Arabidopsis thaliana: one gene and its partner. The protein of the gene in region 1 interacts with the protein of each later gene in a biochemical or structural test. Each region holds a gene or a part of one and is shown on either strand. Other genes may lie near its edges. The genes, in order: D6PK and PIN3.

Evidence for each region.
Region 2: of the proteins of D6PK (region 1) and PIN3, one has a biochemical effect on the other in vitro, tested with the Arabidopsis thaliana proteins (one study listed by BioGRID).

The regions. Positions count from the first base shown.
Region 1 is NC_003076.8:22,639,242-22,644,487, reverse strand, and holds D6PK (D6 protein kinase), read left to right. Parts: upstream 1-2,073; 5' UTR 2,074-2,379; exon of another isoform or gene 2,380-2,625; intron 2,626-2,742; 5' UTR 2,743-2,853; coding exon 2,854-3,488; intron 3,489-3,571; coding exon 3,572-4,433; 3' UTR 4,434-4,675; downstream 4,676-5,246. Other genes in the region: AT5G55900 (Sucrase/ferredoxin-like family protein), read right to left, coding at 4,886-5,246.
Region 2 is NC_003070.9:26,740,908-26,747,174, reverse strand, and holds PIN3 (Auxin efflux carrier family protein), read right to left. Parts: upstream 4,236-6,267; 5' UTR 4,006-4,235; coding exon 2,775-4,005; intron 2,700-2,774; coding exon 2,396-2,699; intron 2,316-2,395; coding exon 2,230-2,315; intron 1,794-2,229; coding exon 1,636-1,793; intron 1,551-1,635; coding exon 1,474-1,550; intron 1,371-1,473; coding exon 1,304-1,370; 3' UTR 706-1,303; downstream 1-705. UniProt on the Arabidopsis thaliana protein: Acts as a component of the auxin efflux carrier; this activity is enhanced when activated by PID-mediated phosphorylation. Seems to be involved in the lateral auxin transport system.

The DNA of each region.
Region 1 (5,246 bases):
ATATGCCCATCATAATTGAATTATTTTGGCTGACTTTAGTGAAACAAAAACAAAACTGGAAAGAACATTAAAATATTAAAAAATATTAGGTAAACGAATTTGCGTGTAGAAGTTGTTTTGATTGATAATAAATAGAAATCTCTATCATTATATTTATAAGTTACAACAAAGAGATCTAAACCAAACTCTAAACTAGTTTTTTTGGAGCTTACCAAAAAAAAAAAACTAGTTTTTTTGGACATAAAAGAACTAGGTATTTTTGCTATTTAAAGCATTCACAACTACCACCAATAATGATTAATCTCATTGTAGGAACACTCGAATCTTTAATTTTCACGATAAATCTTTTAACCATTGAATCTCTATGAATTTGTTAAGAAAATAATATAATTAAGACTTTGAGAGGACTCGATCTAAATCTAAGAGTAAACCTAGAAACTTGTATAAAAATGGATATTCTTACCATTTAAATGTTAAAGCATCCTTAGTGACAGTGTCCAGCTATGATTTAAATTGTAATGAAGAAACTTAGAAACCTTAATCCCTCAAGTATCATGGTAAACAAAACATTTTAATAAACTAAACCTTTTATTTTGTTATTATTGCAGTATTTTTAACCTAAAGAAATGGGATTATAATGAAGAAAGATTCCCCACTCGCGTTTCACGTCACAAGCCGATCGTGTAGCAATTGTCGTTATTGGATCTGAGCTTCTCGATTAAAAATTGACGCAGTAATTGGATCTAATAAGAGCATGAGGTTAAAATATGAATTATTTGAGATATGAGGAAATGAACAAATTATACCCACTTGTGTTCTTTTATGTTGAACAATCTTCTGGTTTGTCAACTACCTGTTGAACCATTTCTAAAAAAACATTGTTTCTGTTCGATTTAAATGTGGGGGAAAAAAAATAAAATACATGAAATATAATCTTAGAATCTAAGGAAACTTATTATTGGGCAATAAATAAGAATTTGCTGAAAAGTTTTAGGGGCATCTTTTGGAACTCTCAAGTTTCAAACAATGGTGAGTCTAATTTTAAATAATTGTTTGGTGTGTTTAGTAAAAAAATAAAATAAAATTAATACACATGACCAATTTACGTATTTGTTATTAGGGAAATTTTTTAAAGGTTTATACAATTTTGGAATGTTTAGTTATTTTTAAAAACTTAAAAGATTTTTTTTTATTGATTTTGGTAAATGACAAAAACTTTCACTAAAAATTTGAAAACAGAATGTTTGACGGATGCTAACAAGCTTTTAGAAAGTATTATTTCGACCATAAAATTGGATGAACACTGGATGTAAATGGAATTGATAACAAAAGAAATCGAGATATAAAATATCTATTGTTATGTCTTCATTCAGCTTATAAGATTTATCATCTATTGGCAATCCGAAAAGATGCAAAACTCTTTGTGATATGGTATGCGCTAATGTTCATTTAATGCCTCAAGTTTCACCCATTAGAACACAAGAAGAAACTTCCGAAGATGCTGCATGATGACGAAAACATACGCTTAGGACGATGTTTTCCAAACCGCATAAATAAAACAGAAAATTATAGTTTGGTGGCACGCATATGGGATTGTCCTTCTAACAAAAATGTGCATTCACAATAGTTCTTACTTAGAATTGCTAAACTGAAAAACTCGTGTGAAAACTTAAGCTAAATATGTAAAATCCATAAATTTATGCATAGAGGTAAACATCAATTTTTTTTATCATCAAGTAAAAGGCACATGACAGATTCATGAGAATAGATGAAAGATAAGAATGTTGAATTTTAATAATTTAAATTGATGTGTTTAATAATTTAAAGAATCAAAAAGGAATTTTTTTGGTAAATATATATAAAAATTTCTATAGACAATTATTTAGAAAATCAAAATATAAAGTAAACATGTAGGAAATATACAATAACATGTATCAATAAAAATTTGGTTGCCCTAAAAAGCCTAAAATTATTAACAGCTCGCGAGAGCATTCTTGATGTAAACATATGTCTTCCATTTTGGAGAAAACAAAAAAAAATACATTGAAATAATTGAAATTCCCTCAAAATAAAAAAAATAAAAAAAAGTATTCAACTTTTTATTTGACCCTCTCTCTCCTCTTCCCTCTTTTCATGGTAGACCCAATTCTCTCTCTCTCTTAACAACACTCTCTCCTCTCTCTCCCTCTCTCTATCTATCCCCATTTCCATGGAAGCAAGCAGATGTGTTCTTACATCTCTTTCTCTCTCTACAGCCTTACATGAACAGTGACTGTTCTCTCTCTTTCCCTCTCCTTCCTTTTTTCTTCTACTTCTCCTTCCCTTTGCTTCGAAAAGGGTATCTCGTGATCTTTATCGCTCAAAAATCTTCACTTTCAGGTAACGATTTATTGGGTCTCTCTCTCTCTCTCTCTCTCTCTCTAAAGCTCTGTTCTTTTTATTTCTTCTTTTTCTGGGTTTTATTCTCTGATTCTTGCTAGATCCAAAAGTTCTTTATTTTGCCTCTTCTTCTTCTTTACTTTAACGAGATCTGTTTTTACCCTTAAAGACTCAAAATAAAAATCCAAACTTTTTGCATGAAGAGCTTTAATTGATTTGTCACTTAGATTTGATATTTCAATTTGGGTAAAATTTTGTGCATCTACTTAAACTTTCATCTGTAGTAAGATCCGTGATTGTTGTTTCTGAGTCTTCTCAATCCAGCTTTAAACTGATGCTATTGTTTTGTTTTGATGACTATAGATCAGGCCACTCGTTGATGGAATCTGTGACAGTATTGATTACTAGAGAGTAAAGACAAGTTCTTTAAATCTCAGGGAAGAAGGAATTGGTGTTTAAGATTGCTCTGTGTTAATGATGGCTTCAAAAACTCCAGAAGGATCACTTACCAATTCCAGTCAAAGTATGTCAATCAACACTTTAGCAGATCAAGTATCTTCGAGTTTGTCTTTCGCTGATCCAAGTAGTGATGGCAAAACCGGTAATAGTAAGATCAACGAGCAAGGTGAGAGTGGAAAGAGTAGCACTTGTAGACCAAGTACAAGCAGTGATATAAGCGATGAGAGCACTTGTAGCAGCTTTAGTAGCAGTATCAACAAACCTCACAAGGCTAATGATGTGAGATGGGAAGCTATTCAAGCTGTTAGAACTAAACATGGTGGTTTGGGTTTGAATCATTTTAGGCTCTTGAAGAGGTTAGGATGTGGAGATATTGGAACTGTTCATCTTGCTGAGTTGAATGGAACTAGGTGTTATTTTGCGATGAAGGTTATGGATAAAACTGCTTTGGCTAGCCGGAAAAAGCTTCTTAGGGCTCAAACTGAAAGAGAGATATTGCAGTGTCTTGATCACCCGTTTCTTCCGACTTTGTATAGTCATTTTGAGACAGAGAAGTTCTCTTGTTTGGTGATGGAGTTTTGTCCTGGTGGTGATTTGCATACACTAAGGCAGAGACAACCCGGGAAACGCTTCACCGAGCAAGCAGCTAAGTAAGAAACTTTTTCTAAACTTTCTTTATCTAAGAATCTAGTTTTGTGCGTTTATATAACCTTAGTGACTTGCTGTTTTGCAGGTTTTATGTCGCGGAAGTGCTTCTTGCAATGGAATATTTACACATGCTTGGGATCATTTACCGTGATCTGAAACCCGAGAACGTTCTTGTGAGAGATGATGGGCACGTGATGCTTTCGGATTTTGATCTCTCCCTGAGATGTACTGTGAGCCTCTCTATAGTCAGATCAGCTAATGTTGGATCCGAAGGCTTGTCGAAGAATTCGGTTTCTTGCTCGCAACAACCTGCATGCATCCAGCAACCATCTTGCATCTCAATGGCTCCAACATCTTGCTTCGGTCCTCGGTTCTTCTCATCGAAATCCAAGAAAGACAAGAAACCGAAAACCGAAAACGGGAACCACCAAGTAACTCCGTTACCAGAACTCGTTGCAGAGCCCACAGGCGCCCGTTCTATGTCTTTTGTTGGCACACACGAGTACTTAGCTCCAGAGATCATCAAAGGTGAAGGACATGGAAGTGCAGTTGATTGGTGGACCTTTGGGATCTTTCTTTATGAACTATTGTTTGGTAAAACACCGTTTAAAGGGTCAGGAAATCGAGCAACGCTCTTCAACGTGGTTGGTCAGCCTCTTAGATTCCCTGAATCTCCGGTTGTTAGCTTCGCAGCTAGGGATTTGATAAGGAGTTTGCTTGTGAAGGAGCCACAACATAGATTAGCTTATAAGCGTGGAGCAACAGAGATAAAGCAACATCCTTTCTTTGAAGGAGTGAATTGGGCTCTGGTTCGATGTGCCAGTCCACCGGAGATTCCTAAACCGGTTGATCTTGAAGCTTTGAATCCTACTCCTACTGTGCCAGCAGCCGCATCTTCGAGTGTAAGATCTGATCAGAGTAATTATCTTGAGTTTGATTTCTTCTGAAGAAACTGTTTCCACAGTTGATGATTCTCATTATTGTTTCTTTGCAAATTCTGTTTAGTGTTTTCTACAAATGTGTTTCTTTTTTTTTCTTCTTTTTAATTTTCACGTCTTGGAAAAAGTTATGAGATTTGTAATCATTCTTCAAAGTTGTGAGACAGTCTCTGTACCATCTTCTTGAGTTTAATGTTAGACACGAACCATTGAGAATCCATTAATCCACCATATCAAAACCTCAAAAGTTCCTTGCTTTTCATTGATCTGAACTCTAAACCAAATTGACTAAACCCGTAATTACTTACAAATGGATATATAATAATCATATGTTATCAACAAGCAGTTCTTACTTAAGAGTTAAAACCCTCTTCTAACTCTGTACAGACGAAGAGGAAACAACTAATCTAAAGACTGAGATAATTACCATTGCATAGAAGCTAAATATAAAACACATAGCTTCATTTCAATTGTTTATAGCAGTTATAAGCAATAGCCACAGATGCAGCAGCACAAGCAACAGCTAAAGCAGCATATGTATCTTCTCTCTCCCAAGTCTCCAACCACATTGACATCACCGCACAAACCTTGAATCCACCAGAAGATCCATTCTCGCTGCTTCCTATCCGAAGAGATGCATTTTTTACAGAGGTTACTCTCTCCGAGGTATTTTTCTCTGTGTGAATCTCCTCCAGACAGTAAGAGGAGTTCCCATTTTGTTGGCAACCACTACCGTTCAGCTCTGGGACAGCTCGAGACTGGCAACAGATACTATTATTAACTGATTCTTGAGTCACCTCTCTGTTGCTGATCTTTTCGCTG
Region 2 (6,267 bases), on another chromosome or scaffold:
GTCGAAATTTCAAAAGTAGTATAAATATTCCATATTTTATCCAAAAAAAAAGAAGTTGGAATACTTTTCATGTTTTCATAATCAGAGTGGTGTTTTCTTAGATTAATTAATTTATCAACAAAATCTGCAAAACTTCTATATTTTTTAGTTTAAATTTTATTAGTAATTAAAACTAATATGACATAAAATTAAGATTCCATTGTCTCAAATACAAAAACAATTAAAAAAAAAATTGGGGGCAAACACAAAAATATTTCATTGTTAAACATACTTTATATCCAACAAACGCATGGTTAACTATACTTCAAATATTAGGAAGGAAAAATCGGCCCGCAACACGAGAAAAAATGGCGGAAAACTCTGATAAACTACATTAATAAAAACTAAACACGGTCGTTTTCAGTCAATTTGCTTATATCCATTTTTTACTTTGTTGACAGAAAAAAAAATACTCTACTTTCTTAAAAAATCAATTTCGAAAGAGAGAAAACAAATAAAGAAATGAAAAGGAGCTTTTTATTAAACTTTAGACAAAGCTTTTTTGACTTTTAATTATCTTTTTGCCTTTTCTTTATCTTTTTGTTTTTAAATAATTATTGTTCATCATCCCTACACACACTACATGGACTATTAATTACATCACTACCAGCTTAAACTAATGATAACACGAAATGCTTTCAGTGCCAAAGCGCCTAACCCAATTCTCCCACTACGACTCTCATCATTTACTACAGCAGAAAAGAATCAGTAAAGCCACCAAATTTGATCACAATAGTACTAATTAAGAATAATAATATAAACTGTTTACTTTTAAAGCGTTATTTGCTCATGTGAAACTGGAACAAGGGAATATTCAAAATCAAAACCACACTTTTCTTCGCTAAAAAAAATCTACACAATAATCAACTAAGAGTTACCCGAACCTAATCAAAGAACACAAAAAAAAAAAAAAAAAGACTGTGTAAGAAAAATAAAAGTTACAAAAATAATAAGTTGTCTTCATCTTCCAATCTTTTATTTATCTTTTCTTTGTCTCGTTGCCCCATGTTTTGCTCCTCCTTATCTGCGTCCCATTGTCTCACTCAAATAATCTCCCAATATTCTATATATAAAAAATATGGGAGAAGAAAGGGTTTCTTGGCTTGTAATGTTGGCATCAGCATTCCTTAAATCATGCTACTCCCTAGTTGTACTTACATACTCTAAGCTTTTTTTAGTTTGTTCCATGAGACACTCTCTAGTTTCCCTTTCTTCCTTCTCCCTCTACAATTGACTCTTTCTCGGGGCTTTCATAACCGAAAGCTTATAACCCGAGTAGAATGTAGTAAACCAGCGTGATCGGAAGCGCTATAAGCATTCCAAATATTACCCTGAAAAGTCATTCAAGTTATCACAATGTTAAATGTTATTGAAAGGATTGCATTAGTAATCATATATGCTAATGGAATAATTATCATAAAATCTTTGACTTACCCTGTACTTAAAATAGCAGGATGAACATTGTACTCCTTCGCAAACACAAAGGGCACAATTCCTTGAGGTAATGCGGCCTAAAAAACCATACCAAAACATTTTCACATTTTTCATATTACACCAAAAATAGTTTTAACCAAAAAAAGAGAGAGAAAATTTTACCTGAACTATAGCGACACGCAGTAAATCACCACGTAATCCGATGGCTATAGCAGCAACCGCCATCACGGCCGGACCCGTAAGGAACCTAACCGCCATGGCAAACGTTGCCACTGAATTCCCACAAGCGATTAATTTGGGTTGCAACGCCATGAACAACCCTTCACGATTATTTCACATAAAGTTTAATTTCAAAATCAGGTAATCAATAAAATTTTATATATCTAGAATAAATCCAATAAAGTCCCATAAAAATGGGGACCATGACGACTATCAACAACACGAGACCATGTCGTCCACCATTACCATTTATCTAATAAGACACTCACAACATAGCCCCACCTGTCGGATGGTCCATCCCCAATTTTTTGTTTTTCATAATATAAATCACAATGACAAAAACAGCATATAAATTTATGAACTACCTAATTTAATTCCATTGTTATGTAAATGAGTTAATATGTCAACGAAATATGCAAAATTTAGAAATTTTCCGTGACAAGTAAGACGTTTGGTATGAATCATATTTATTCATTTAAATGGCTTCAAAACTAAAATTTCGAGAGGAATAAAAACAGAGTACGAAGAAAGACTTACCCAAACTAAACATTGCCATTCCAAGACCAGCATCAGATAGAATGGAGATAGATTGTTGAATGATTTTGGGCATTGCCACGTGCCACCTTCAATTCAAAAACCGGAATAAATTTCCCGATAACCGGTTGGTTCGAGTTAAGAAAACAATTAATTTTGATTTACTAACCGGAAAGCGACGAGAGCCCAAATAAGTCCAATGAGACTAGAGTAAGTGTTTGGGTTTCTGATGAGTTTCCTCCAAACCATTATCAGTATCAGCCTTGTCATCACACTCGCCGGAGGCATATTTTTTCGTTGACTTGCTTCGGCTCCTCCTAGACCTGTCTTGGATTGTAGCGCCGCCGTGGAATTTGGAGCAAGTTTGTTTAGACCATTCTCGGCGTCTTTTGGTCTCTCTGCTTCTTCTTCTTTTCCGGCGAAACTAAATTGTTGTTCTCCTCCGAAATCTCCACTTGCTGGATGAGCTACAGCTATATTCACCACACAAAACAGAATTGAGAAAATTTGCAGTGACTTATCAAGAAAGTTATCTAAAGATTGCTAACCTTTGGTCTCGCCGTTGTGAGATTGATCTGGGACTAACATACGGATCTCTTTAGCACCTTGGTCAGATCTTCCGCCTTGATCGTTGTCAGGTGCTCCGCCGAAAACGTTAAGACCCGCCCGGTCTGAAACGGGTGACCCGTTTGAGCTCCAGACGAACATGTGAAGCTCCTTGGCGTCATGGCTGTTTGACTTGCCGCCCGTTGGAAGAGTCGTCTGCTGATTCGTATTAACGTCTTTCGGGTTTTTATTGACGCTTTTATTGGCGGTAGATGTGGTGGTTGAAGAGAACTCTGGATTCGGAGCCGGATAAGACCCGGCTCCTCCTCCAGGGTAATACCCGAATCTCGGGGAGGATGCCATGGCGCAATTCTCCTCGAAGTTTGAAGGTCGAGGAGTTGGACCTCTAGATGATTGAACGGAGTACATATCCGCCGGACCGAAATTGGAGAGACGACCACCGGGGAAACCCATCATGTTGTAAAAATCAGAGTGGTTGAAATTAGAGCCTCTAGGAGTGGTGCTGAGACTATAAATCTCAGCTCCGGTGAGATTTGACGGCCGTGGAGTCATGTTCGGGCCGCAGAACGAACGACGTGAAGCGTTGGATTTTCTCACGGTGACGTGAAGCTTCCCGTCGTCACCTATCTCTGCATCGGTCTCAAGAAAATCATGGCCGTCGAGCGAAACGACGTCGGATTCGACTTTGAAAGAAACAATGGAAGCAGCCGTCTCAGGGAACTGCTCCATGATGAGCATCTTGGCGCCACGAAACTCGAAGAGAAAAAGGAGAAGCGTGTACCAGATGATACACTGGAGGACGACGATTTGGACCATGAGGGAACCAGAGTATTCGCCATACATGGCGATCAAGAGAGGAATCCCCATAACAAGAGTGTTGGGAAGTGTGGAGAGGGAAAAGATTGTGATGCTCCACTCGAGGCTACCGGAGCGAGTGAAATTAGCCCATAGGACTAAAAGTGACAACATGATGATTTTTTGGAGAGTGTCGGCGGCGATGAACCGGAGATTCATTGCGTAAGGATTGTTGGTGGAGATGAAGTGAAAAGAGAGGAGAGGGACGGCGAAGATGGCGACAAAACGGTTGATTCCGGAGCATTGGTCGGGTGAGAAGATTTTCCACCACCGGACAGAGCCGTAAGCGAGGATCATGGCCACGTAGAGAGGAATCACGGCGGTGAGGACCGTGTAGAGGTCGTGCCATGAGATCATCTTGAAGGGACAAAAATGGAAAACCGTTAAGCAACGGTGTCGGAGGAAGAAGAAGAAGTGAGAGGACTTGGGAGCAGTGTGTGTGTGGAGTGAGCAAGTTTGGTTTTTGAGGATATAATTTAAGGAAGGATGCCACTTTACACCTCTTTATACAGCAAATACGTGACCACCCAAGTTCCTTTTTACTAATTTATTTTATTTTATTTATTCTTTAGTATGTTACATTTTTTATCGATCTTATCAAAAAAATAACAATATAGTTCTTTTCTTTTAAGATATTGTTTATAAGATTTATTATGTTTTTGTTTAATTATTAAATAATATTCTTTTTATTATTATATTGAATAATACATCTCATCATATGGAAAGTTTAAAATAATACAAATTAATGGTTAGAGTGTTTTTCAACATTTTTATATTTTATACTACATAACTAAAATCTAGTATTTTTTGTTCGACTGATTGAAACGGACATATTGTAGATAACAACATACACATAAATAGTCAAATAATTAAAATAACTGATAAATAAGAATATTGTTGAATAATTTCAGTGACATTCATGTGCTTGATTTTTCATTTTTTATGATTCATGAAGATTAAAGTAAAATATGGAAAAATAGAAACTGAGTCTGCCACATTTTTTACTTGTACAAATAGCATCTGAGTTAGATCTTAAGAAGAAGGTCTACATGTGGCACTCTACTTTTGGGGATGGGCATGGCAGAGACATACCTTTTCTCTTCTGTCCCCTAATCTTTGCTTTTCAATATTTTACTTTACCTTTCTTTCACATTCTCTAACTAATCCATTTTCGTAATATGAATAAATCAATATCGATATCAATATTAAACATATGGGTATATTACTAAATTAAAAACTAATATCTTGGTACCCCGGCTAATAATCAAAAAAGCAATAGTTAAATATCAAAAGTATTTGGAAATTCTTTTTATATTTTGTGATGTTTGATAAAACACTTTTTATAAAGTAATCATTAGAAAAATAAGGAGACAAGATGGGCTGGAGACAAAGAAGATCCACTAAGGAATTGGATGGCTCAAATGGAATTTGGCTAATGGCGTCGAGTGTGTCTATGTGTTATTGTTAGGTTTACTTATTTGTCTCGTGAAGTAGGCAACACTCAATTACTCCTTGGACGACATAAATTTTAGCCTATATTCTCATCGTTAAGCTTCTGTCTAATTCCCCTTCATGATATTAGTTAACACGTCGCTTCGGAATTATTTGTTCACATAAACTAAAATCTGAATTTAGTGTAGAGATGATCGGTTTAAACTTTTTAACCAAAACAAAAATTGAGATGAACTGAAATTAGAACTACAGTGGTTAACCTCTAACTAGTGGTTGGAGGCTAGCGGTAAACATATCTTTTTAAATAGATTAATAGAGAAATAAAATTCAAAAATGAATTATCAATGAAATTGATATTAGACATTTATTGATTTGATATTTGAGTTTTAAAATATTATCATCACAATGTAGTACTTATGAGTATAGTTAATATATGTCATTTTTATTTATGAGTTTTACAAAACCAAATAGCTCAATTTATTGTATAAATTTAGTTAATATATCATTAAATCACTTATATAGTAGAAAAAAATATTTTCCTGTATTTTATTCTTATAATTTTTTTTCCCGATATGGGCATTACTACCTTTTTAGTACAGAGCCAAAGTTTCACATGAGTAAATGGCTGAGACAGAGAATGTCGTGACCTTCTTGTGACTTAGTGTTGCTGTATCTTTCTGATTGCATAAAATATTACTTGACACAACTTCCTCGAATAAGTCCAAACATGAATGATTAATTGTGATTTAAGCTAAGATAAAATCTGCCGTCCTTACAAAACCATATTATACACTTTATTCAACTATTTATCATAATCGAATCAACCTATTATTATATCTTAATATTTTCACTCAATTGACATTCAATTAACAAAATAAATAATCCTAGATATCGGCAAAAGATTTAGGGAACTTTTGGAAGCACTTCATATGTCAGCTTAACCATTTCCATTAACTACCAAATTATTCCATCTGTTTAAGTGTTTATATAATTGATAATTCTAGCTAATGTACATAAAGATCTACACAAAAATATACATATTCCACAATAAAGCTAGTACACACAGTGTTGTGCGTATAAGGCTATGACTGAGTGACTCAAAATGTTTATGGCTAAGTTTAAAAATGTGCCCTCTTTTAATTGTTACAAAAATATCATCTAAAATTT